Linked DNA regions of Styela clava. The protein of the gene in region 2 purifies or fractionates together with the protein of the main gene of each other region. This does not show direct contact. Links are inferred from orthologs where the notes say so. Each region holds a gene or a part of one and is shown on either strand. Other genes may lie near its edges. The genes, in order: peroxisomal acyl-coenzyme A oxidase 1-like, peroxisomal targeting signal 1 receptor-like and peroxisomal trans-2-enoyl-CoA reductase-like.

Region 1 (7,891 bases), on a different chromosome or scaffold from region 2:
ATAGAGACAGATTTAGGATTGCGCAATAATATTCGATTATTCGGTTCGATTCGGCAAAAATATTCGATTCGAATCAAAAAATTATTCGATTTTGGACAGCCCTAATAGAGAGACTTTGCTTTGAACTTACTAAGAGATAATACAATAACCCTGTAATTGGTTACCCCATTCTCTAACGGGTTTCTGCCAATTTCTGAATTTACATACGGAAACGGTATCCGTATTTAAGTGACGAGCCTTTCCGCATATTACCCATATCGGTAGATGGATTATTTCGAAAACACCATAACACACACGAATTGAAGCACAACCTTTAAAAAAGTTTAAAACATGAGGAAAATCATGTGCCTGCCCACCAGCACACACACCCACACAAAAACCCAAATAAATGAGGCTTGGGCCAGAATTGAACAAATAAAATACCCGATAGTATTTCGGACTGTTGTACTTTTAACACTTACCGGTACATTGATAATAACCAATACAATCTCATTCAAAGATAATAGGGGGAGTGCAATGCAATAAAGTGACGACAATGGTCATTGAAGCTAAAAAAAACCAAGCCACGAGAACTACTACACTAGTGATTGCTAGACTATGCATTGCTGAAAAGGTGATAAAGAGGTTTAAGATACAAACAAACTCAAAACTCTGAAGGTAAATTCGGTGTATGGACACTAGTAAAATAAATTATCAGGAAAAACACTAATCACACGTTTGTAGCCTAATTGATATCTATTGACCAGCATTGTTAAAGCAATATATCTACACACAAAGAGAACAAAACAAAAATATGCCATTAAATGAATGTTTAAAAACGTTGAGCATTGGTATGGTCATTTCAAGATACACTACAAACTATTTGTGCATATATAGTTAAATCTCATTTAGTATTCAAGTAGAATCTCTAGTAATAGCCTAGTATTTGCAGTAGGCTATCTGCAGACAGTCGCATTTCAATTCCATACTTTTCTTAATATTCTTGATTTATTATCTTTCGATTCTGTTATGACAGTATGATGTCTGTATGTTGCCTTAATGCCACAATGTCCTTTTCGTATTTCAGTCTTTACATGTTGATATATATCTTATTCCTATCAAACTGTCCGCACATAGACATGCGTAACACGCCGCGATCGCAAAATGTGTTCTTTGTATATATCAGGGGAAATTCAGGGACTTACCCTAGAGAGTCACGTGATTAATCTTAAAAACAAGTTTCGCCGAGCTTATGGACCTTTCCCCGAGCATCGACTTCCCTGTTTATTTTGTGACATTAGCCAATCAGCAAGATGCAAAAAGTGACGTAACAATGCTCCCTTTTCGCTTCCGCCCAGACAGATTTTCAAGCGTGGTCGTGAACATTACCTCGTTTTCGAACTCTATTCGTTAGTTTTCAGTTGTGTTTCGGAAACTAAGATATAAATCAGACAATTCAAAGATCACTCTGTCTTCCTAGGAGTTTTAATTTAATTTCAGTAATAGAAAATTAGTGTAGAATTAGCTGGGATAGACTAGGCTAAAATTCTTTACCGGTACTTTTAAAAAACAGATTGTTATATGCGATAAATCATAATGATGCTGTGAAACACATACCTCATTTTACAGGCGCCAACTCGCAAAAGCACTTTTAAAATAGCCCCGAAAATTTTGTAATGGTAAAGTATAAGAAGAATTTTTCGGGGGTCAAAGATCGGGGAAAGGTCCATTTTGACACATTGTTCATTTATGTAACATTGGATAATTAGCAAAATATCAAGAACAGCGTGTAAAAAAAATTCGAAATCCCTTTTACATTGTCTCGAGAATATAATGATATATTGTGTGAATTATTTTATTTTCGAATAGTTTTCAATACAAGATGGCTGCGAGACTATAAAATTGTGGCAGCGTCATATTTACTCAATTTCACAGAATATAACATCTCCAAAGCTTTCTTCTCAATAAATTGAAATAAATATTATCATGATATATTCTTTTATTAACCGTGAGCGAGACAAGTGGGGGACAATGCATTTTGTAGTACGTGATTGTTGGTAGAATTTAGTTGAGTACCCGGGTATACGCGGAGACTCGCAACTTCAAAAGTGGTATTTCTTGCCAACAAACGTTTACGATACGTCGGACCGTTAGTCGTTGGTCGGACTTGACGTAGGACCTGGTATTAATATTTGAGTCTATCCTATCAAAGCCTATATGTCGCCAGGGTGTCTTCTAGTGGTGTCACTCTCAATGTCGCATCGAAACAAATGCTGCAATACAGAAAAACGCAAAATAACATGAAAAGTTAACTGGAAAGCCCACATCAATTAAAGCTGAGAGTGAAGTTTCATCTTCTGTGATCGGTCATCGCGAATTTTTTTTTTAATAATTTGATATAGATATTTCTGGCGTAAATACTCGGATGTGGAGTAAAGGACATTAGGGCATTAGGCTCTTTATACATCGAGGTTGAAAAAGATTGAATGGGGAGAAGATATATTTATTCTCGTTCAAACCTGGCCCAATTGTCTATTTATACTAAAATTGGCAAAAAGACATGTTTCGACTCCCAAAATAGGTGTCTTATATGTACGGTCCCTCATTTACACAAGACCAGTAAAGTAATTATATTAAGGTATTATTTACACAACGAGTTTGAAAAGGAGTATATGGGGGGAAATATATTTATTCTATTTCAACATGGCCCAGTCGTCAGTTTATACAAAATTGGCAAAAATTGCTTCAGATACTGGTTTATGTGGTTCAAACTGTTTTTATTGCCCGGAACTGATGACTGCATTTAAAACATTTTATGTACCCAAAATTTCTCTGTGGGGGCTTTGCTAGTAGGGATTTAGGCAGGTATGATACAACAATAGGCTATGAAAAGTATGGGCATCTTTACGTAAAATCCTCGGTCTATAACAAACAGAACTTAGCAAAAGATAATCGAACACAGGGAATCATGGAGAAAAGTCAACAGGAGCTAAAGCGTACTCGTTTCAACAACAGGCGGTTTAAACGTCTTGATGAGATCGCTGTAGTGTCAACTTCATAAGTAGTTGTAATTGTAAGATACTTATTCTTTTGTGCAAAATTGGTCTTTTTGCAAATTTTTTCATGAATTGACTATCGAGCCAGGTTTAAACGAGGTTTCAATCTTCCCCACATACAAACTTTTCCAAACTCGTTGTATAAACACTTTATTATATGTACTAATGCTGGTCTTGTGTAAATAGGGGGGCAGAAATTGTAAGACACTTATCTTTTGGGGTAAAATAGGTCTTTTTGTGTTTCTTCAAAGAGGCGGATATATTTGTAAGACACTTATATTTGGGGGAGAACTATGATTTTTTTGCAATTGCGCGGCGGTGTAGCTCAACGGGCTAAGCGTTAGGAATACGCTTGCCACCGCACCTCTAATTACTCTGCGTGGGTTCGCAGGTTCAAATCCCATGCAGGGATGGTTATGTGCAAGAGGATTGCTGGACTCCTCGCCGCCGTTGGGTGGTTTACGTAACCGCTGGTCGGTTATGGCTTCCTCCACCACCAAATCCATGCTTCCGAACATAACATTATAACTAATCCCATACCCGACTTGGAATAGTAACCGGACGAGAGGCCGTGGTTCGCCATATGGATAAGCCGTCTCATCGGCTTTCCTCTCCCCCGGGATAAATCTGTAAATCCTATCCTATTATTCACAATTTATATGCTTTTATCTGGCAACGCATTAGGCATCAGCTGATTTTCCACCGATGCCTTTCTCGTCGTCTCTCGCATCGCTCGAATCAAATTTGAGTTCTGGCAATCGCCGATCGGCGCGTCTGCTAGGTACGGTAACTTTGTTCTTTTCGCCTGGGGAGTGGGGTTTGTGTTGTCGCCATCATTTTGGACTGGCTGAATGGGGGAGTAGAATTATAAAACTGTAAAAGATCTGAAGATGCCAAGATGGTTTTAAATTACGGTTGAGGTGTTGCTGGGGGCTTTGTAATTTGTATCTGAATCTGACTTTAAACTGGGCTTACTCCAGTGAAGGCTGGCAGGATAGGATAGGATTTTCACGTTTATCTGGGCCGGCCGGCCGGGTGGAAGAAAGGCCTCTCATCCGGTTACTAATCCATGTCAGGTACTGTATGGGATTAGGCAGCCGGTTATTATTTCTTTCTGATCTATGGCTGTGCCAGGCTGTAGCTGTAAGTTTGCAATTCATACAGGAACATGTTTTTCATATCCTCTTTCTGTAATCTGTTTTGATGGCATCTATTTGCGATATCCATTTGTTTCTGTACCGGTACCAGTACATGCTTAGCATTTCAGTCTGTGTCAGCTATTGTAACAACTTTATTAATTTTGTTTAAAGCTATTAGTGTGTCCATAATTCAGTAATTATACAACTAGTTGAAATTTGTGATTAACAATGGCATCAAGTGAGGAGCAGAAAATAAATCCAGATATACAAAAAGAGAGAGATACAAGAACATTTGATTATGAGGAACTAGCGATGCTATTGAATGGTGGTAAAGAGGAAAGAGAAAAAAGAAAGAAAATTGGTAGGTCATCCATTTCTCCAGTAACTGAAGTTAGAGTGATTCAAAAATTTGTGGATTTCATATCATTAAAACCTGTAAATAATACTGATACTTATAATATGTATGTATAAATAGATTGGAATTAACCTGACTTAATTACAGTTGTACTTAGTGTTCAAATATAATGAAGGTCTTGATTGGTGTTGAAACTATGAGAACGTATTAAAAATCATTTACCTATCATATAAATAAAATATAATAAAATGTAGAACTTTTTTAGCATAATGAGATTGAGTAAAATATTTGTGCAGATTTATCTTCACAGTTTCATTATATTTTATATGCTCGTTTGTTTTGTAATATAAAGTTCTTGATAACTGAAATAATTTTTTTCATATGAATAGTTGATAAAGGTAGATTTGGATCTTGATGATATGCTCTTCCATATATCTGGTGCAAAACATTCCATCTAACTTATTTTCTTATTGTTCAAGTTTAATTTTGCATTCAAATTGTTTTAAATTTTCCTGCATACTATTTTCTGATGCATGTAATTTTCTTATGTTTCAGTATCCATTGTTGAATCGGATAGGGACTACGATGGACCAGATCCTTCTTTCATGTCTAGAATGGACAGATTTGAAGAATGGATGAGAAAATCGTCTCTTCTTGTCAGGAAGAAAGAAAAACTGGGCGAATTGGTTCAAGATCACAAGGATTTTATGTTTTATAACTTGTATGATTGTAGTTATTATCTCTTGTTAGAAACTATTTCAGGGCCTCCAATACCTTTATTTAAATAACTATACTGAATATTGTAGAATAAAATCTATCATTAACATTCTTAACTACCTCATAGCTGTTTTTCGGTCTTATTCGCATGAACTTCTTTATGTCTCAATTGGTATTTTCTATTGGGCATTTCAGTAATCAGTAGGTATTTTTCTACCATACTAAAATACACTTTGTGAATAAACAATACAAAAAGAAGTAAAATGGTACTTTGGGGTGAAAGGATTTCAGTTAATAAGTTCTTTATAGTCACAGTAGCTCTTGATATTTTGGTGATTGTGTATAACCTCTCTCAGAGATCGAATCCTCTATTCCTCAGTGAGTGCATGTGACCTTGCTTTGAGTGAAAAAAGACAGTTAGCTACATGATACTAAGCTTATTCTTCACACATTTATAGGATTTTTGTAAATTACAATTTTCCTGGCATCCAAAATGTGTGTATTGTCCGATGTCATGTTTTATTTAAATCAAGTCTTATTTTCAATATCACTTACAGAAATGTCACCAAGAAAAGGCCTAATGTCTTTTTTGATCTTCATTATGGAATGTTTGTGCCTACATTGATGGGCCAAGCAACTGATGAACAAAGAGCAAAGTGGTTGATACCTGCAATAAATCATGAGATTTTGGGCACCTATGCTCAAACGGAAATGGGCCACGGTAAGTCAAATGATCGTAATAATAAGCTTGTGGCAATTTTGTTTTGTACAGCAGTGATCAAGTCATCATGGGGGTATTTTGAATGTGAAACGATGCTCAATAAGCATCTCTCAATAATCAAAATCATGAATTTACAAATAATACACCACTAAAGGAATCCTGTCAGTAGATCTGACTTTAGTATGCGGGTTAATGTGATTGGCCCAGAAGTGACAACCAATCGAATCATTTGTATTGACAAGCAGTGTTAACTCTAAGCAAATTATGAGTGCGAAAGTGCTTCGCAGTCGAAAAAAAAAGTGCGAAAGTGCTTTTGCCGATTTTAACAAGTTAGGTGCCCTAGCCTTTCATATAACCCATTTAAAACGGCATAGATACTCAAAAAAGCGCTCCTCCGGTTAATATTATGAATTAAAGAGAAGCCTGCCTTTTCGTTAACCCAGTTCCCTCTAAGCGAATTCATGTTTAATTAAAACGAGCGAATTCATCGGCAAAGAAATGACATCTGCTAACACCTTCCGGGACAAAACGTTCATGCAATGTATCACGGTGTCAGTTGCTTACTGGCGGTGTCAGTTGCTTACTCGCGTAAACAGCAAAGACTTTCACATTTGTTACTCCTTCCATCTAACAGATACGAGGCAGGCTGGAAACCATATTAATTACAGGGTGGATCGTTTGTACAAATCCCGTGCAAAATAATCTCTCCCCCCCCCCCCCCCCCCTCCAAATATAAATAGCAATCAACTAATTAGGGTTAGGTGCGCTGGAAATTCAACTTTTCGATTTATCCCTAAACCTAATCTGATAATTATTAATTTGTGATTTTGAACCACTTTGAAAGTCGCCACCGGCTGTTTTAAAAGATAAGTTAACCTACGTTCCCTCCGAAATATTACGCAGGATACTCCCCTGTTTTAGGAGATAGGTTGACCTACTTTTCTTTCAAACCTTTTTCTCCGAAATATTACACAAGATCACTTTGAAAATCCTCCCGTTTCGTGAGCTAGCGTGACCTAATTTATCTTTTACATTTATATTATACTATTTCAGAGCTTACCCAAAGACAAGTAATTTTTAAATGTCGACATGCCTTGGTTTGTGTGCGAGTTAGTTTAAATCGGGCAGAAAACTTCATATATTGGCAAAATGTTTAGTAATGTCATGTACTTTCAGCATTCATAAATAGCACTCTTTGTAATGCTGCAAAAAAAGATTTGGTTGCGAGAGTTACGTGAGATGACTGCCGTTGTTTTCTAAGCAGAATGTAAACAAAATTTATAATTAATAAACGGGAGTTACGACGCCCTTCACACATCGTGTGTATTAAACTTCCCTGGTAAGTACTATTATTATTGTACTTATACACCTGTTGGAGTATTTCGGACAATTTCGAATTTAAAATAAATGAAAACCCGACATATAATAAAGACGCAAAAGTAAAATGAACATTTATTGAAAAAGTTATTATTTCAGAAAGACAACATGATGTACAATTCCGCCAAAACCTCGATGTTCGCAAGTGAAATGATAAATAAATACTTCCCTGTATTCGATCAATTAACTTTAGCGTATCGTTGTTCTGCCAACAAACAGCCGGGTGCGACCATACGTGGCCGGCGGGATGTTAAAATTGTAAACAAGAGAGAGGTAAAATCAATCGCGAATTTCGTTATAACGGCTCGTTTACGAATTGTTGCGCCTGTTATCGTCGAAAATGATTACATTTGTTGTATTTTGAGGCATTTAAGCAGTAATAATTACATCATCAAAATCGTCAAGTGAGATCTTGAAATTGCAAATTCCGTAAATAAAATTGTGAATTATTCGGTAACGAACTCAGCTTCAATGACCGTCGGGGTATTGTTTTGTTGAAAATTATTATTAATGTGAGAGCGCCAAAAACATACAGTCCATACCGATG
Region 2 (7,611 bases):
TGCCGGTCGATGAACTCATTCAGTAATAGTTCTCTTCAAATGTACGAAAAATAATTCACTCATAACAAAGTTCAAATTAAATTTCAATCAAAATTAAATATTATCTAGACGTCGGTAGCTGATTCTTTATCTAATCATGACAGGGCGTACAATAACTCAGTCGCAGCGCGGGTGTGCTGTTGAAAATTTTCATCAAAATTATCACGAATTTTTAAGTATACGATCTATTTAAATTCGCGCATAATAGAAACTTAGGCTATTTAGTGGAAAACTGAACTTGCAGTTTGGTGGAAATTACGCCACACATCATCTCGAGTGATGCGTAGAAGAGTGTGTTGTGCCGAATTTGAAACAAATGAGTCAATCACGAAAAATTCATTTTCATTCATTTCCGTCCCGTAATTTGATGTTATTTGGAGTGCCGCATAAACGCATTCGGCAGTTTTAACGCCGCCGAAAACAACGATTAACAAATGTTGAATGTATTTCTTTTGGTCCCGTAATTTGGTGTTATTTGGAGTGCGCATGCACGCATTCGGCAGATTTAAAGCCGCCGAAAACAACGATTTATTAAAAAACGGTCAATGTTTTGTTTTTTTCGGTTAATCGCTCTCTTTTTCCGAATCGCGTAAATCTGATTCGAATCGATTCGGAAAAGATGCGATTCGAATCGATTCGTAAATCCTATTAACGGCACATATACTTTTGGCACGGGTATAAATTCTGATTGTTTGTCGTCAAGTACGCGTGTCATTTAGTCCATCGACATCGATAAACTAAATTCCGACACAATTATTAGGTATTAATTTAATTTTGTTTAACTACACAATTACTTTATAGATATATTGACGTGACCGCCTATCCCTCTAGAATGTCTCAAAATATATGATAGCAATTGTAGAATATTATAAAATAGTAAAGTAAAAAAACATCCTCGACGGTTATAGGTAGGCCTTCTTTTTGTCGGTGCTGATCGATATTCTTTCATGTTGGCTTTGACTTATTGCGTCGACGATTACGATTAGCCACGAAGGAAAATATTTGTAAAATGCTTTTAATTTGAACGTAGGACGGCGGCGCTAGAATGTGTGGGTGATATTCGATATTCTTTTAAACACGAACAACAATATTCGAAGCTCGCGATATTGACATTAAATTCAAATTGGACGACCCGGCTTATGAGTTTTCTAATTGAACACCGAGATTACTAGCGTTACTGTACATTGTACAGTGTATCTTAATCAGTTAAAGCAAACACCAAACATTAATCGGTATCGGTACATCTCTAAATATAACTGGAATAAAATTATGCCCTAACCCAAACCTGGTACACATTCTACGTTCCGGTGTCCGCCATCTTGGTGCACATACTACGGAGCGCCTTTATTTCATCGTTTTTGTTAGGGTTACATGTAGCTCACGGTGGAATGATGAAAATCAGCCAGGGGCGCAGTCAGGATTTTAAAAAGGGTGTGTTTCAAAACCGAAAATTTCCATTCCCTTATGAAACAGTCGCCGCGATTACGCTCTCATTGAAAAGGCCGAGTTTTTCAGCGTATACCAACATTCTCTCCAGTAAAATATTCATTTCATGATAGCTACGAGAATCTAAAACTTTCTTCTATATTGATATAATCTTGTGTCCAACGTAACTCGCGGTTACGTCTTCTTGCGTCAAAATATAAACATTATTAGTCTGAAATACCACTCAATCTTTTGATGTAAAAATATGAGATAAACATGCCTAATGGCTAATTGTATTTAGTTTCGATTGATTGTATAATAACTCTCAGCGAATTTCAATTCTGGGCAAAAATAAAGTAATTATTATCGTTGTCGTGAAATAATTGTTGTGATTCAGGGAGAATAAACACCAACTAAAAGTGTTTACGGCCTAAATAACACGTCACGCTGATAAAAACAATCAGGAATTTTAGCGAAAAGCAATCGCACGCGCTATTTGTGACTTTTTCAGTTTTCCATGAATTTGAAAGGAGGGGGGAATTATAAAATCGCGAGTGGAAGGACTTTCTATTAATATTTGAAAATTGCAAAATTTAACCCTTTTTCGCTTTACGTAATTTTTATGAAAAGGGGTATCTTCAACAGGGAAGTACTCCCTTTTCTAAGTTTGAGTAGTTTTAGATTCAATGTGGGTGATAAACTTCATATATTCTACTTTGAAATGAAATTATAAAATCGCGTGCCTCTTGAGCGGAAGATATTTCTATTAATATTTGAAAATTGCAAAATCAAACACTTTTTCGCTTTACGTAATTTTGATGAAAAGGGGTATCTTCAACAAGGGAGTACTCCCTTTTCTAAGTTCGAGTAGTTTTAGGTTCAATGTGTGTGATAAACCCTATATATTCCACTTTAATATGAAATTATAAAATCGCGTGCCTCTTGAGCGGAACATATTTCTATTAATAATTGAAAATTGCAAAATTTACCTATTTTTATGTTTCACGTAATTTTGATGAATAGGGGTATCTTCAACAAGGAAGTTCTTCCTTTTCTAAGTTGGAGTAGTTTTAAGTTCAATGTGTGTGATAAACCTTATATATTTTACTTTGATATGAAATTATAAAATCGCGTGCCTCTTGAGCGGAAGATAATTCTATTAATATTTGAAAATTGCAAAATTTAACCCGTTTTCGCTTTACGTATTTTTGGTGAAAAGGGGTATCTTCAACAGGGGAGTACACCCTTTTCTATGTTCGAGTAGTTTTAGGTTCAATGTGTGTGATAAACGTCATATACTGTACTTTGATATGAAATTATAAAATCGCGTGCCTCTTGAGCGGAAGATATTTCTATTAATATTTGAAAATTGCAAAATTTAACCCTTTTTCGCTTTACGTAATTTTGATGAAAAGTGGTATCTTCAACAGGGGAGTACTCCTTTTTCTGGGTTCGAGTAGTTTTAGGTTCAATGTGTGTGATAAACTTCATATATTCTGCTTCGATATGAATTTATAAAATCGCGTGCCTCTTGAGCGGAAAGACTTTCTATTAATATTTGAAAATTGCAAAATTTAACCCTTTTTCGCTTTACGTAATTTTGATGAATTGAGGTATCTTCAACAGGGAAGTACTCCCTTTTCTAAGTTCGAGTAGTTTTAGGTTCAATATGTGTGATAAACTTCATATATTCCACTTTGATAAGAAATTATAAAATTGGGTGCCACTTGAGCGGAAGGACTTTCTATTAAGAACATATTTGGACACAATTTATCCCATGTCTGATCTCGAATCTATGCGAGACGCTCTATTAAAAGCGCAGAATAATTTCTTATGAAATTTTCATAACATCGACTGCGTTTTTCACAGCACTAATATTGTTATTAAAATCACCGATTGTTCAAAATCGGAAATTCCCATGCAACGGCTTCTAAAACGTTCGCCGAGATTGTGTGTTCGTTAAAACGGCTGACGTATTCAGCGTACAATGACTCTTATGTGGCGTGAAATATTTAATCCGCGACAACTACAGGAATTTGAAAAGTCCTTCTATATTAATTTAATTGTGTTCAGTGTAACTCGTTGTTGCGTCGATAGAGTCTACTGTAATATACTACTGTGGACATAATAATGTGAGATAAATTGCGTCAACAAAATGAAAGCGTTATTTCTCAAATTAACACGGTAATCCGCGGACATAAAAATGTGTGGTAAAGTGCCTGATAATATCGTGTTGTATGTAATTTGTATTTTCGCAAATTTGATAAATCTGAGCTGTTCTTGTAATATTGACACGGCTCTATCGCATTTCTTTCGGTTGTAATGCTTTTAAGACAACCGTTAGACAAATCCCTGCGACAGCAATAAAATTTCATTGAGTTAAATTTAGTTCAAAAAGTTGATGGAAGATACTTTACACATTAATTATTTTATATAAAAAGTTACGCTAGTTTCCCGCCGGTATTTTTACAATGAATAAAAAGTGCCTCGCTCGCACAATTGACAAAAAATAAATAAACAATATGTAATTTTAATCTTTCTTCATGAAACAAGACATTTGTCTTCCGCTATTTGTCATTACGGCTAAATAACACGTCACGCTACCGAAAATAATCGGCTATTTTAATAACAACATTAGCGCTGTGAAAATCGTCAATTGTGCGTTTTCACGGCGATTGTTGGTCTCGGATGGTTGGTCTTGATGTTTCTTCCATATCTATAATCGAGAGCAATTCCATAATCGAGAGCAATTCTGCCGTGTGGAATTTAGAAATCGCCTACGTTTTACTCCATCACCCTTCAAAAAGCACAAAGCTGTAATATCACTCTTCAATGAGCACAAAAACGAGACTTAACGCACCGCTGCGCACAATTCGAAGAAGGTTTGCTACTAGCTTCACAGTGGTCATTCATCGCAGTTCGAGTTTCTGAGTTGGCTCGCTGCGGAAGGCTTTTCCGAAGTAAAATGTCTGCGATTAAGGAACTGGTGGCAGGTGAATGTGGAGGGGCTAATCCTTTGATGAAAATAACTCAGCACGTTAACCAGGATTTATCGTTTCAGCATCGAGGACTGACTAACAGAGTAAATGGTAAGGGTCCTTGGTTTATTCATCCGTCTGTCAATTCTGCAATTGGTCAATCATTCTGTAGAGTGCAGGTTAGATTTATGCACCGTTGGGTGATCACATTCCTGCATTCAGATACTGTATTATAATTACCATACCAAAAGTCTGAAATCCCTTTTATCACCAGTAGCGATAACATCTACTAACATTAATATATGGTTCAACAATCAATCGTTTATAAGTATGTAGAAAACTGATACACAACAACCTGACAACATCATTTGGTGATATATTGATGATACAATCAATAATACAGGGTGTGACTTTATACGCTGATATGAGTGAATATGTATTTTCATACATAACAACTCCCATAACAATGCTCTAGACAAGCATTCTTGATACATCATGCAACAGTGACCATGCTGTTCTATGCTGAGAATGATGGTCATCCCGGATCCTCTACCCAATTTTCATACATTTTATATATGAATGAGATGTTGAAAATTGAGGCAGATTTCGTCAACTTGTTATGTCAACAATGGTTCAACAGTTTTACCATTAGGTCATGAAGTGTTTAAACAGCTGATGATAGTTCTTTATATCTTCACCCTAATAATCGTTTGAAGATTGTCTAGTTCAATAATATCAAAAATTTTTCTAACATTGTAATATTTGATGTGTTTTTTCAGGCCATGGAGCTCATCAACCTCTCGCGGAACAATATGCAAATGAGTTTCTTCAAGATCATCAAATGGTGGTCAAACATCCACAGACATTCGATATGGGACGACTGTTACATGAAGCACGTTTACTGGATTCCAGACCACCACAACGTAAAACATTTTACTCTGCCTTATACTATTGTGTGAAGTTTACTCATCTATTTATTGTACATATCGTCGATGTGCCGTACCTCTTTGTCCTGTGTATTGTACAAGAGTTTTAATTGTATATTCCATGTCTGTTGTCCTACTATAACGCAGCAGTCCTAAACTGCAGTTATACTTGTTGGGGTTCATGTCGCACATCTGTGTTTTTGGCCAGTAAGGTCTTGAACATGTATCCCGTCTTTGTTATACCGTTTAATTATTATGCATATACTGTTATATTTTTGAGACAAATAAACATACATACATACATACTATGTGCCAAGCTTTGGTTGAGCAATTATTACTTATCGATCTTAAGATCGGTAAGTATATTGATAGGTATTTGTCTGTATGTATGTATGTCTGTCTGTGTGTCTGTTAGATGCACGCGATATCTCACGAAAGCGAGATTGAATCTGCTCCAGATTTTGCATGTGCATTCATCTTATCTCGGACCAGATTCTAATTGATTTTGGGCGAATTATGTCGTATAATTAGCGAGTTATCAATCAATTATTGATTAAGTGATCTAGATTTTTGTAAAGCGAGAGAATTTTGAGACCCGCCGAGTGTGTGTGTGCGATGCGCAGTGCGCAAGTTACACGAGCGGATGAATCGAAACTGCAGTTTCTGTTTTGGGGGATCCCCTAACTATCGATCGATAAGTATTCGGTTTCCAACCGATATTCTCGTTGGTGTTTTTTATTGAAACCTACATACTCAGGTCTTGTTCACATTTTATTGAGTCAATGGGTATTGCTTGTGATTTGAAAATTATTGCATTGATGGATATGTAATGTTGTGCAGAGTTTTTGCTGTAAATGACTTTGTGATTAATGATTTGTCTAGATATAGCTTGAATTAGCTCATGGTATTTTTAAATCAAATAATAGCACGCTATTCAATCAACAGAAATTCAAATCTCAGTTACTGCACAACATTGGGAAAAAGATTTTCAAAGTTTTAGGCCTGCTCCATTTCGAGAAACTGGACGTGAAGAAGCTCTGTGGGCTGAAGAATTTTTGCGACATGGTGAATATAAATTTAAGTTATATGTTATTGTTTATCAGACATTTTCTTGTTGTTTGCTTCAATTTTCCTTATATTTTAGTAGGGTTAGATGTCTTGTGCTTTTCATTGTTTATGATGTGTTATTTCAAAAACATGAAGTCATATCATTAAGAACTTTAGAGAATTTAAATATTACCAGAGTCTGTGCCAGGATATTAGGAATAGAGTGTATATTTATAACTCAGTGGCTTAACAAGCTGAACAAAATTCTTTGTTCAATTGCTGACTTCATGTGATTTGTATTTGGTCGAAAATTCTGAACACATGTTGAACTTATCACATTATTCCCTGTTCATTGGTATGTTTCTCATAATTTTTGTCCATTTATCAACTTTTCAGAACAACATCAAGAAATACCTTTTTATAATAATTTGAATGGACCTAATATGATGGGTTATGAACCTGCCAGAATACGAGAAATAGATGATGTTACAAGTACTGAAGACTGGTGAGATATTATCTTATGATTGACTTAGATCTGACATGTATTATGCCTTGTGGTCCCTCACGGAGGCTTTTAGCACTGATAGCCATCCCCCTGTTTATCATTTTGCCCCTGACATGGTGGTCCCTCTCCAACTGCTCTGCGGCCCCATGGTAGGCCACGGGCCCCCGATTGAGAACCACTGTTTTATGTCCATGCATGAACTTTTAGGTACTGGTATGTATAATATTACCAGATAATGTTTGTTCCGTTCGAAATTCTTTTTTCATTCCAAACTGAATCCTAAAGTGATTTTTAGTTGGTATATATGACTTTTATCATAGTCTAATATCTTTCAACTGATGATGTTTTTCCAGGTCAAAGGAATTTGGCAGTGAAGTTCAAGAAAAGACAGAATTACAGAAAGCGGCAGATGAAATGGTCGAATCATTCTCGAAAGACAATAAAATATCAAATACCGAATTTTTTGATTTTGTTTCAAGTCTTGGTACAAAAGGTAAAGCAGATGATTGGACATCAGAATTTGTGGAAGAGAATGGAAGTCAGGTACATTTTAATTATTCATAAATGTATAAAAAATCATCACAAATTAGGAAATGATGCTGTTTTTTATCTGGTCATCACAAAGGTATGTTGTTAAGCATGTTATTCTTAAACATCTTCATTTAATTGTCATTTTTCATGACCACACTTT
Region 3 (7,282 bases), on a different chromosome or scaffold from region 2:
TCGGCTACTCCATATTTGTAAATTAAAATTTATTAGTTTACGTAAATACACCTATCAACTAAAGTTCAGGCGTAAACCACTTCGGCAAAAGGTCAGGTATTTTTCACAATTAAATACCGATTCACTGATATTAGCAAGTCAGTGATGGCGCGCTATAAACCCTTGGTTTGTTGTTCAACATATAGAGAGTGAATCTGATACAAGAATATGGCAAGCCTTTAGGCTAATCACAGTCGGATAGCAGAAATAAATAGAAAATTTGACACATCATTTTGATACGTCTACAATTTTAAAAAACAAATTTTACTGGTTGAGTATTAAAATTTATAGAGAAGAAGTGTTTTTATCGCGGTTGATTATGGAATGGAATCACGGGATATTAAATGCAACATAGCGACCTTTTTCTCGAAGTGAGGTCGTCCACCTTGTAAATAAGGGGATTGCATAAAAAATACATGACAAAATTATCTTCTACTAAATGTTATATAGAAAATATTAGGAAAGTCAGAAACAGCGAACACGAAGAAGTAATTATTAAATCAATTCTTTTAAAAAATATTCTGATGTGAAACTATTGCTCAATTTCCTTTCAATGAAAATAAACTTGGACATGAAACCCATTACATTATTTACCCGCTTATCAAAGCGATGTCGGTATCGGGTATTGGCTCGACCAGATTAAAATAATGAAGAAATGCACTGTAAATTGTTCTCGAATGACTAACAACATTTGGCAAGTTGAAAAGGGTATCATTTCAGCAGTTTGAAACACAACACCTGTTATTTATACGAAACAACAAGAAATTCACGTTTTAAGATGAATGCATAGACGTAGCCAGATATATTTCGTCCATATTGCGCGAATTCAATAAATGTTTCGTGAAAGGTACGAGAATACAATCCTCGACGTTATTCTAATATGCTGATTTACATTCGGGCAATGTCATTTTAGAAAACAAAAGTCTTACTTAAAAATTTCTTTCGCGGTTTCTGCTTATTTGCAACTTGGCAATTCACCGCCAATGCCAGACACAGGAGAACGACGATTGTTATTCTCATCATCTTGTCTTCTAACCGGTAGAACATCAAGCGAACGAGAGTTGTTTTTAAATGATACTCGTGGTAGATAAAATCCGAATTTATAGACGACTGTGATCGCTCCGGTAATCACGGGGAAGTCTCGCGGTGACGAGGAAAGTCGTCAGCGAACAACGACGTAAAACTCTAATGTGAAAAAGGTGTTCTTTTCATTGTTGTGGAAATGCCAATGACGTGATAAAAACATAAACCAAAGTTATGGTAACAGTTTAAATGTTTTAAATTCACACTCGTGACGGTTTTCTATCCATTTATTTGAACGACATTTCCTAAAATAGAGGCAGCAATCGCATATTTGCTGTTCGTGCAGCAAGTTTCAAGTGACGACTTGTAACTCTTCGAATTAACCTTTTAAACAAAGATATCTTCTATGAATTGATTACCGAATGAAATATACTCATATGATTTTCTATCGAAATCAAACGATCCGCTTAAACTTTGAATTCATTTCATGGAGCTTAAGAACTTTCAATAAGACTTTAGGCTATACGTCGTAAAAAACATATACAGTATATTCTCTCAAAATAGATGATTACGTTCACCACTGGGCATTACAAAAAATATTTAACGTTATAATATGCAGTGTGGGCATGACATTTATTTTTAATCAATTCATTTATTACCTATTAACCCACATTTAGCCCACCATGCATTTGGTAAAAATTCATCTGCGTGGAAAATTTGTATTCGTTCTCCCTGGGGATAGAAATTCTACCAAATAACTATTAAATCCAATGCGAGCCACGAACTAGCCAGTTCAATTCGGATTTTGGAATTAGATAGGATTTAATAGATGCTCTTCTGTACATACTAAAACTGTGCTCCAAATTTCAGTCGGTTATCCACATAGGACCTATGTAGGTATATGTATTTGCACTAAACAGCAAACCTTTTTATCTTAATTTCCCACTTCCGATTTAAGCTGAGATTTGATTCCCCACAAAATCTCCCTTAAAAAGAATTATTTTCCCGTCAATAATAAGTGGTAAGAAATTTTTAATAAAGGCTTGCAATTGGTGCAGACGCTAAAACCCCGCGAGAACATTCATTTGTCATTGTCAATCGCGAGACAACTGCATAGGACGCAGTATATCGTCTTCAAACTTATCCGAAATTGTCCCATACTGTCGAATCTCATCTTTTTCGCGTGGCTTGCTTATATTATGAAAATGCTGCGATTTTTTTTTATCACACTGATAATAGATCTTTAAAATATGTTGCTTCAGTTGATGGGGCTTCATAGAACAAATGGTTAGGGTCTCAAAACAACGCATTGCGGCAGTTGCTCAAATTTTTCTTCACTAACGCGAAATCGTAACCGAGATAACTACTATGATCGTACTCTCTTTTCATAGGATAGGATAGGATTTACATATTTATTCCGGAGGAGAGGAAAGCCGATAAGACGGCTTATCCATATGGCGATCCACGGCCTCTCGCCCGGTTACCATTCCAAGTCGGGTATAGAATTAGATTTACTGTATTGTTTGTTTTCGGAAGCATGGACTTGGTGGTGAAGGAAGTCGTAACCGACCAGCGGTTACGTGAACCACTCAACGACGGCGAGGAGTCCAGCAATCCTCTCGCACATAACCATCCCTGCATGGGATTCGAACCTGCGAACCCACGCAGAGTAGTTAGAGGTTAACGCTTAGCCCGTTGAGCCACACCGCCGCGCCATTAGCAATTACCTTTTATTAACAGCTTAGCAAAGAGATGACACGGGCCAGATATTTGTGGGTCTGCAGCGAAAAACTTCTTTTGTAACCGTAAGGAGTCATTGTCAAGTTTGTGGGATCATGATCGGTCGACCAGAATTCAAAATGAGTTACATGAGCAAATCACGATCAGAATATCATGATCGACAACGGTATATTTCACCAAAATTTTGATTGGCTGAATGGGAATCTTTTTCCGCTTCATGGCATATATTGTGTTTTTTTTTTGCGAAATATTCCTTAATTGTGTGTTTGTGCTGCGTTACATTTTAATAGATCACCTAAACGAGTCCATATCGCCTTACTTATTTCTTGCTCGTTGACAGACATCGCGAGGTAGCGCGAAAGGGCTCCTTATTCTTCCGTCCTTTTTGGTTGCTTATTACAAAGCGGTTTATTACTTATTTAGGTAGCCTACCGTACGGTACGATGCAATGAGAAGCAGCTAATGTGCGCCAAATTACTGTATTAATTATGCTTTCGATCAAAAGTGTATTCAAGCCAAATTTATTTGCAAATAATGTTGCAATCGTTACTGGTGGTGCCACAGGCATTGGAGCGGCAATTGCCCATGAACTCTCATTTTTGGGGTGCAATGTTATGATTGCATCGAGAAATGCCGAACGATTAAAAACTGCTGAAGAGGAGATGCAAAAAAATGATAAATTGTCTGGAAAAGTGATATCTACTCAATGCAACATTAGAAAAGAAAACGAAGTTGAAAATTTGATGAAAAAGACCATGAAAATATTTGGTAAAATTGATTTTCTAGTTAACAATGGTGGTGGTCAATTTGTAAGCAAAGCAGAAAAGCTGACAGAAAAGGGCTGGCATGCTGTTATTGAAACAAACTTGACTGGGACATTTTACTGTTGTAAACATTCTTATCTGACTACAATGAAAGACCATGGGGGTGCTATTGTTAACATTACTGCAGATATGTGGAAGGGTATGCCTTATATGGCTCATACATCAGCTGCAAGAGCCGGAGTTGTTAATTTAACAAAAACTTTATCCTTGGAATGGGCCAGTCATGGAGTAAGGATAAACTCTGTAGCCCCGGGCATAATCTATTCGCCGACTGCTCGTGCAAATTACAAAGACCCAACTATGTTTGATAAAGCAATTGATAATCAACCATCCGCGAGGTCCGGCACACCTGAAGAAATTTCTGCTGCTGTCTGTTTTCTACTGTCTCCCGCGGCAGCATATATTTCTGGCGAGACCCTAAAAGTCGATGCTGCTGGAAGTCTTTATAAAAACTTTATAGAAATTCCAAAGCATGACAAACTACCGGCTTGGTCATGGGATGTCGATCCTAAGTCCTGATACCTTTTATAGCTAAGTCTGTATATCAGCACTAATATAAATCAAGAGTGCATTATATTACTCAATCTGTGTAATTTATTCCACACATTTGTTGACAATTATTTTTAGAAAGGGTGCTTTTGTCTCAGGAATGTTTAAATAAAATTGATATTACTTAAAATATATCTAGTACGGCACAGTTCTCCGATTCCATAACAGCCCCTTACAAATATAACAGTAAGTGCAAGCAAATCCTTTACGAGACAGTCTGGGCCTCCATATCTGTAAAAATCAGCAAACTGGCACTGCGCAATAAACTAGAAGGAAGCGCAATTCTAAAAACGCCAGCATTGGATTCTTCGGAAAAAAAATGTTTAGCAAAAAAAGTCAATTTCGGTCATGTGACAGCTGTGATCAATTTAGGTTATTATCGAGAGAAGCATTGTGCGATCTGCCATCGTGTCAGGCGCCCTCGTTTCAGAGACAAATAGAGTGTTTGTTTTATTGAACTAAATGTTGGCACATCTTGGAATCGGAGAACTGTGCTATACTGTGTATGGCAAAAAGTTGATGTGCATTTAACCTAAGTTTTATCAAAAGTCTGACTAATATTACTTATACGCAGTGTTTGGGAGACTATTGACTTGAGTCACCATTTTTCAATGACCCTCTTTTTCAACTAGTCATTTAAATGAAATGGCTCAGAAACAATTAAACTCAATGAATGACTCGGTTTGTATGGCTTGTGACTCGAATCTCAACTCAAGGTTCAGAGTAATAGTTCAATGTAAAACAGAGTTTTATACCAATGAATGACATTGGTTGGAAATTATTTGAAAATACTTTTTTGATTTATGAGTTTGAATAATAAAAATCTAGGCGTTATATTTTGTAATCAAATGATACTCGTTATACTTTTGTAATCAAATTTTCATTTTAATTTTTACAAATTCTAATTTTTGTTCAAAATTATTCAAACAGGTTGTTAAAAAAATGTCAATCCGTAGTATATTTGCACCAAATTTGTTTTCTGGAAAGGTCGCGATTGTCACTGGTGGTGCCACGGGTATCGGTGCCGCAATTGCACAGGAACTATGCCACCTTGGATGCGACATTGTAATTGCTTCAAGAAATGAAGAGAAGTTAAAAGCAGCAGCGAAAAAGATGCAGGAAGACCCGCAAATGAAAGGGAGGATTTCCACAACGAAGTGTAACATTCGCAGTGAGGGTGACGTCATTAACCTTATGACAAGTACGATTGAAAAATATGGCAAAATTGATTATTTAATAAATAATGGAGGAGGTCAATTTCTCAGCGGAGCTGAAAACATAACTGCTAAAGGTTGGCATGCTGTAGTGGAAACCAATTTAACAGGAACTTTTTACTGTTGCAAGCATGCATATTTAACTTGGATGCAGGAACATGGTGGCTCAATAGTCAATATTATCACCGACATGTGGAAAGGATATACTTTTATGGCTCACAGTAGTGCTGCAAGGGCTGGTGTGGATAACCTAACAAAAACGCTATCTTTGGAATGGGCAGGAAGTGGGGTAAGAATCAACTCAGTTGCACCCGGTACAATTTATTCCGAAACAGCTGTGGCGAATTATGCTGACCCTGCGATCTTTGATGAAGCGTTACAACTTCAACCGACTGGACGTCTTGGAAAGCCTGAAGAAATATCGGCAGCAGTGTGTTTCCTTCTTTCTCCGGCTGCAGCGTATATAACCGGTGAAAGTCTGAAAGTTGATGGTGCTCAGAGTCTTTACACTAATTTCATAAGGATTCCGAAACATGATAACTTTCCCAAATGGTCATGGGAACAGACGAAAGCAAAATTATAAAAAATCATTTTGTCAATTTGTTACTATATTCTCTTAAATCTGTTTCTTTCCAATTTTCTATTTATTCAAAATATGCTCTTAAATATAGACTGTATGTAATTGGCTTGAAATTTTAAGATAGCATTTCTGTTCCATTTTAATAATTCTCCATTGTCAATAGCTACCTAATTTCCTTATTAGAGATCGAGATGCTAATGCTACAAAATAGGGGTTTTTAGAATTATTCTGGGATTATGACCTTTACGGGCATATCCCAGTTAAATTTATTCAATATTTAAATGCAATCCAATAGATTAAATATGTCAAATATCTATTTTATACTACTTTATGATCAAATTTAATTTTCTATGCAACCTAAATATAATTCAATACCTTACTACCAGTCACATCAGTTTTTCTACACTCCTAGAAAAAATACCTTTGGGCCGAGAAAGCAACAATAGTCATCATAGCAGCCGTAACCAACCTGGTGCCAGATGCTAGGTGTAAACTGATTCTACTTTTCAATTAACAAAAAACTCTGTTCTTCCTCGATTCATTGCTCGATAAGGTTATTTCACGGGTAGTTTTCACTTTTTTGGTCAAGAATTGTTTGAAAATAATGAGATTTGGAATCTACTAATCATAATACCACTGGAATGAAAAACAGGCAAGTCATAAGAGGTTGGGCACCACTGCATTACAGAATAGCTAGTTAGCAGTTACCATTGTTTTTTTTATGGGGTGTTCAAAAACTGCTTTAAACAAGAATGTAAAGAAGCTGTCAATAATATGACTATTGACTGGTATCTCTCTCATTTGAAATGATCTGACCAACTTATCACTGTGGTTGAGACTGACCCCTAGACAGCAAGGCCAGATCAAACAAAACTAGGGAGAGGCGATGCTTCAATAACAGAAACTCATTCAGGTATTACCAGATTCAGTGTGACTAAACAAACGATCATGTTACATTCATTGAGAGTCCAATCCTGGTAGGATAGGTTGGAAGCGGCGCATATCCCATTACGATTCATATGCCAGGCTTTTATATCGCCGGCTAGACAAGAACATGAAACTTACGAAAATACTCGTATAGATCGTTTCAACAAGGAGGAATACAGAGAGATAGCTCTTTAAACTTGACTACTAACTAAGGGATGACAAAGATCTCAGAACTTAACAATAGTAACTTTCTATATTTGATTTGTGTGATTGGTTGCCAAGCACATATTTATATAATATAGCAAGGATTATTGAATGATTAAAAGTAGAAAATTGCACAGTAAAATGTCATGAAAAATTTGGTAAATGATAGTTTTTATCCCCGA

What was found.
Region 1: the proteins of peroxisomal targeting signal 1 receptor-like (region 2) and peroxisomal acyl-coenzyme A oxidase 1-like purify together in Homo sapiens (affinity purification with mass spectrometry; 3 studies listed by BioGRID, with this or other methods). This does not show direct contact. The link is inferred for Styela clava from reciprocal best matches to the Homo sapiens genes PEX5 and ACOX1.
Region 3: the proteins of peroxisomal targeting signal 1 receptor-like (region 2) and peroxisomal trans-2-enoyl-CoA reductase-like purify together in Homo sapiens (affinity purification with mass spectrometry; 3 studies listed by BioGRID, with this or other methods). This does not show direct contact. The link is inferred for Styela clava from reciprocal best matches to the Homo sapiens genes PEX5 and PECR.

The regions. Positions count from the first base shown.
Region 1 is NC_135252.1:13,996,543-14,004,433, reverse strand, and holds the start of peroxisomal acyl-coenzyme A oxidase 1-like, read left to right. Parts: upstream 1-4,335; 5' UTR 4,336-4,402; coding exon 4,403-4,535; intron 4,536-5,084; coding exon 5,085-5,250; intron 5,251-5,803; coding exon 5,804-5,967; intron 5,968-7,891. UniProt on the Homo sapiens protein: Involved in the initial and rate-limiting step of peroxisomal beta-oxidation of straight-chain saturated and unsaturated very-long-chain fatty acids.
Region 2 is NC_135256.1:14,572,519-14,580,129, forward strand, and holds the start of peroxisomal targeting signal 1 receptor-like, read left to right. Parts: upstream 1-4,369; 5' UTR 4,370-4,429; coding exon 4,430-4,553; intron 4,554-5,221; coding exon 5,222-5,365; intron 5,366-6,313; coding exon 6,314-6,433; intron 6,434-6,811; coding exon 6,812-6,920; intron 6,921-7,273; coding exon 7,274-7,463; intron 7,464-7,611.
Region 3 is NC_135250.1:4,733,383-4,740,664, reverse strand, and holds peroxisomal trans-2-enoyl-CoA reductase-like, read left to right. Parts: upstream 1-5,078; 5' UTR 5,079-5,117; coding exon 5,118-5,972; 3' UTR 5,973-6,446; downstream 6,447-7,282. Other genes in the region: uncharacterized protein LOC120348670, read right to left, coding at 969-1,086. UniProt on the Homo sapiens protein: Participates in chain elongation of fatty acids. Catalyzes the reduction of trans-2-enoyl-CoAs of varying chain lengths from 6:1 to 16:1, having maximum activity with 10:1 CoA. Has no 2,4-dienoyl-CoA reductase activity.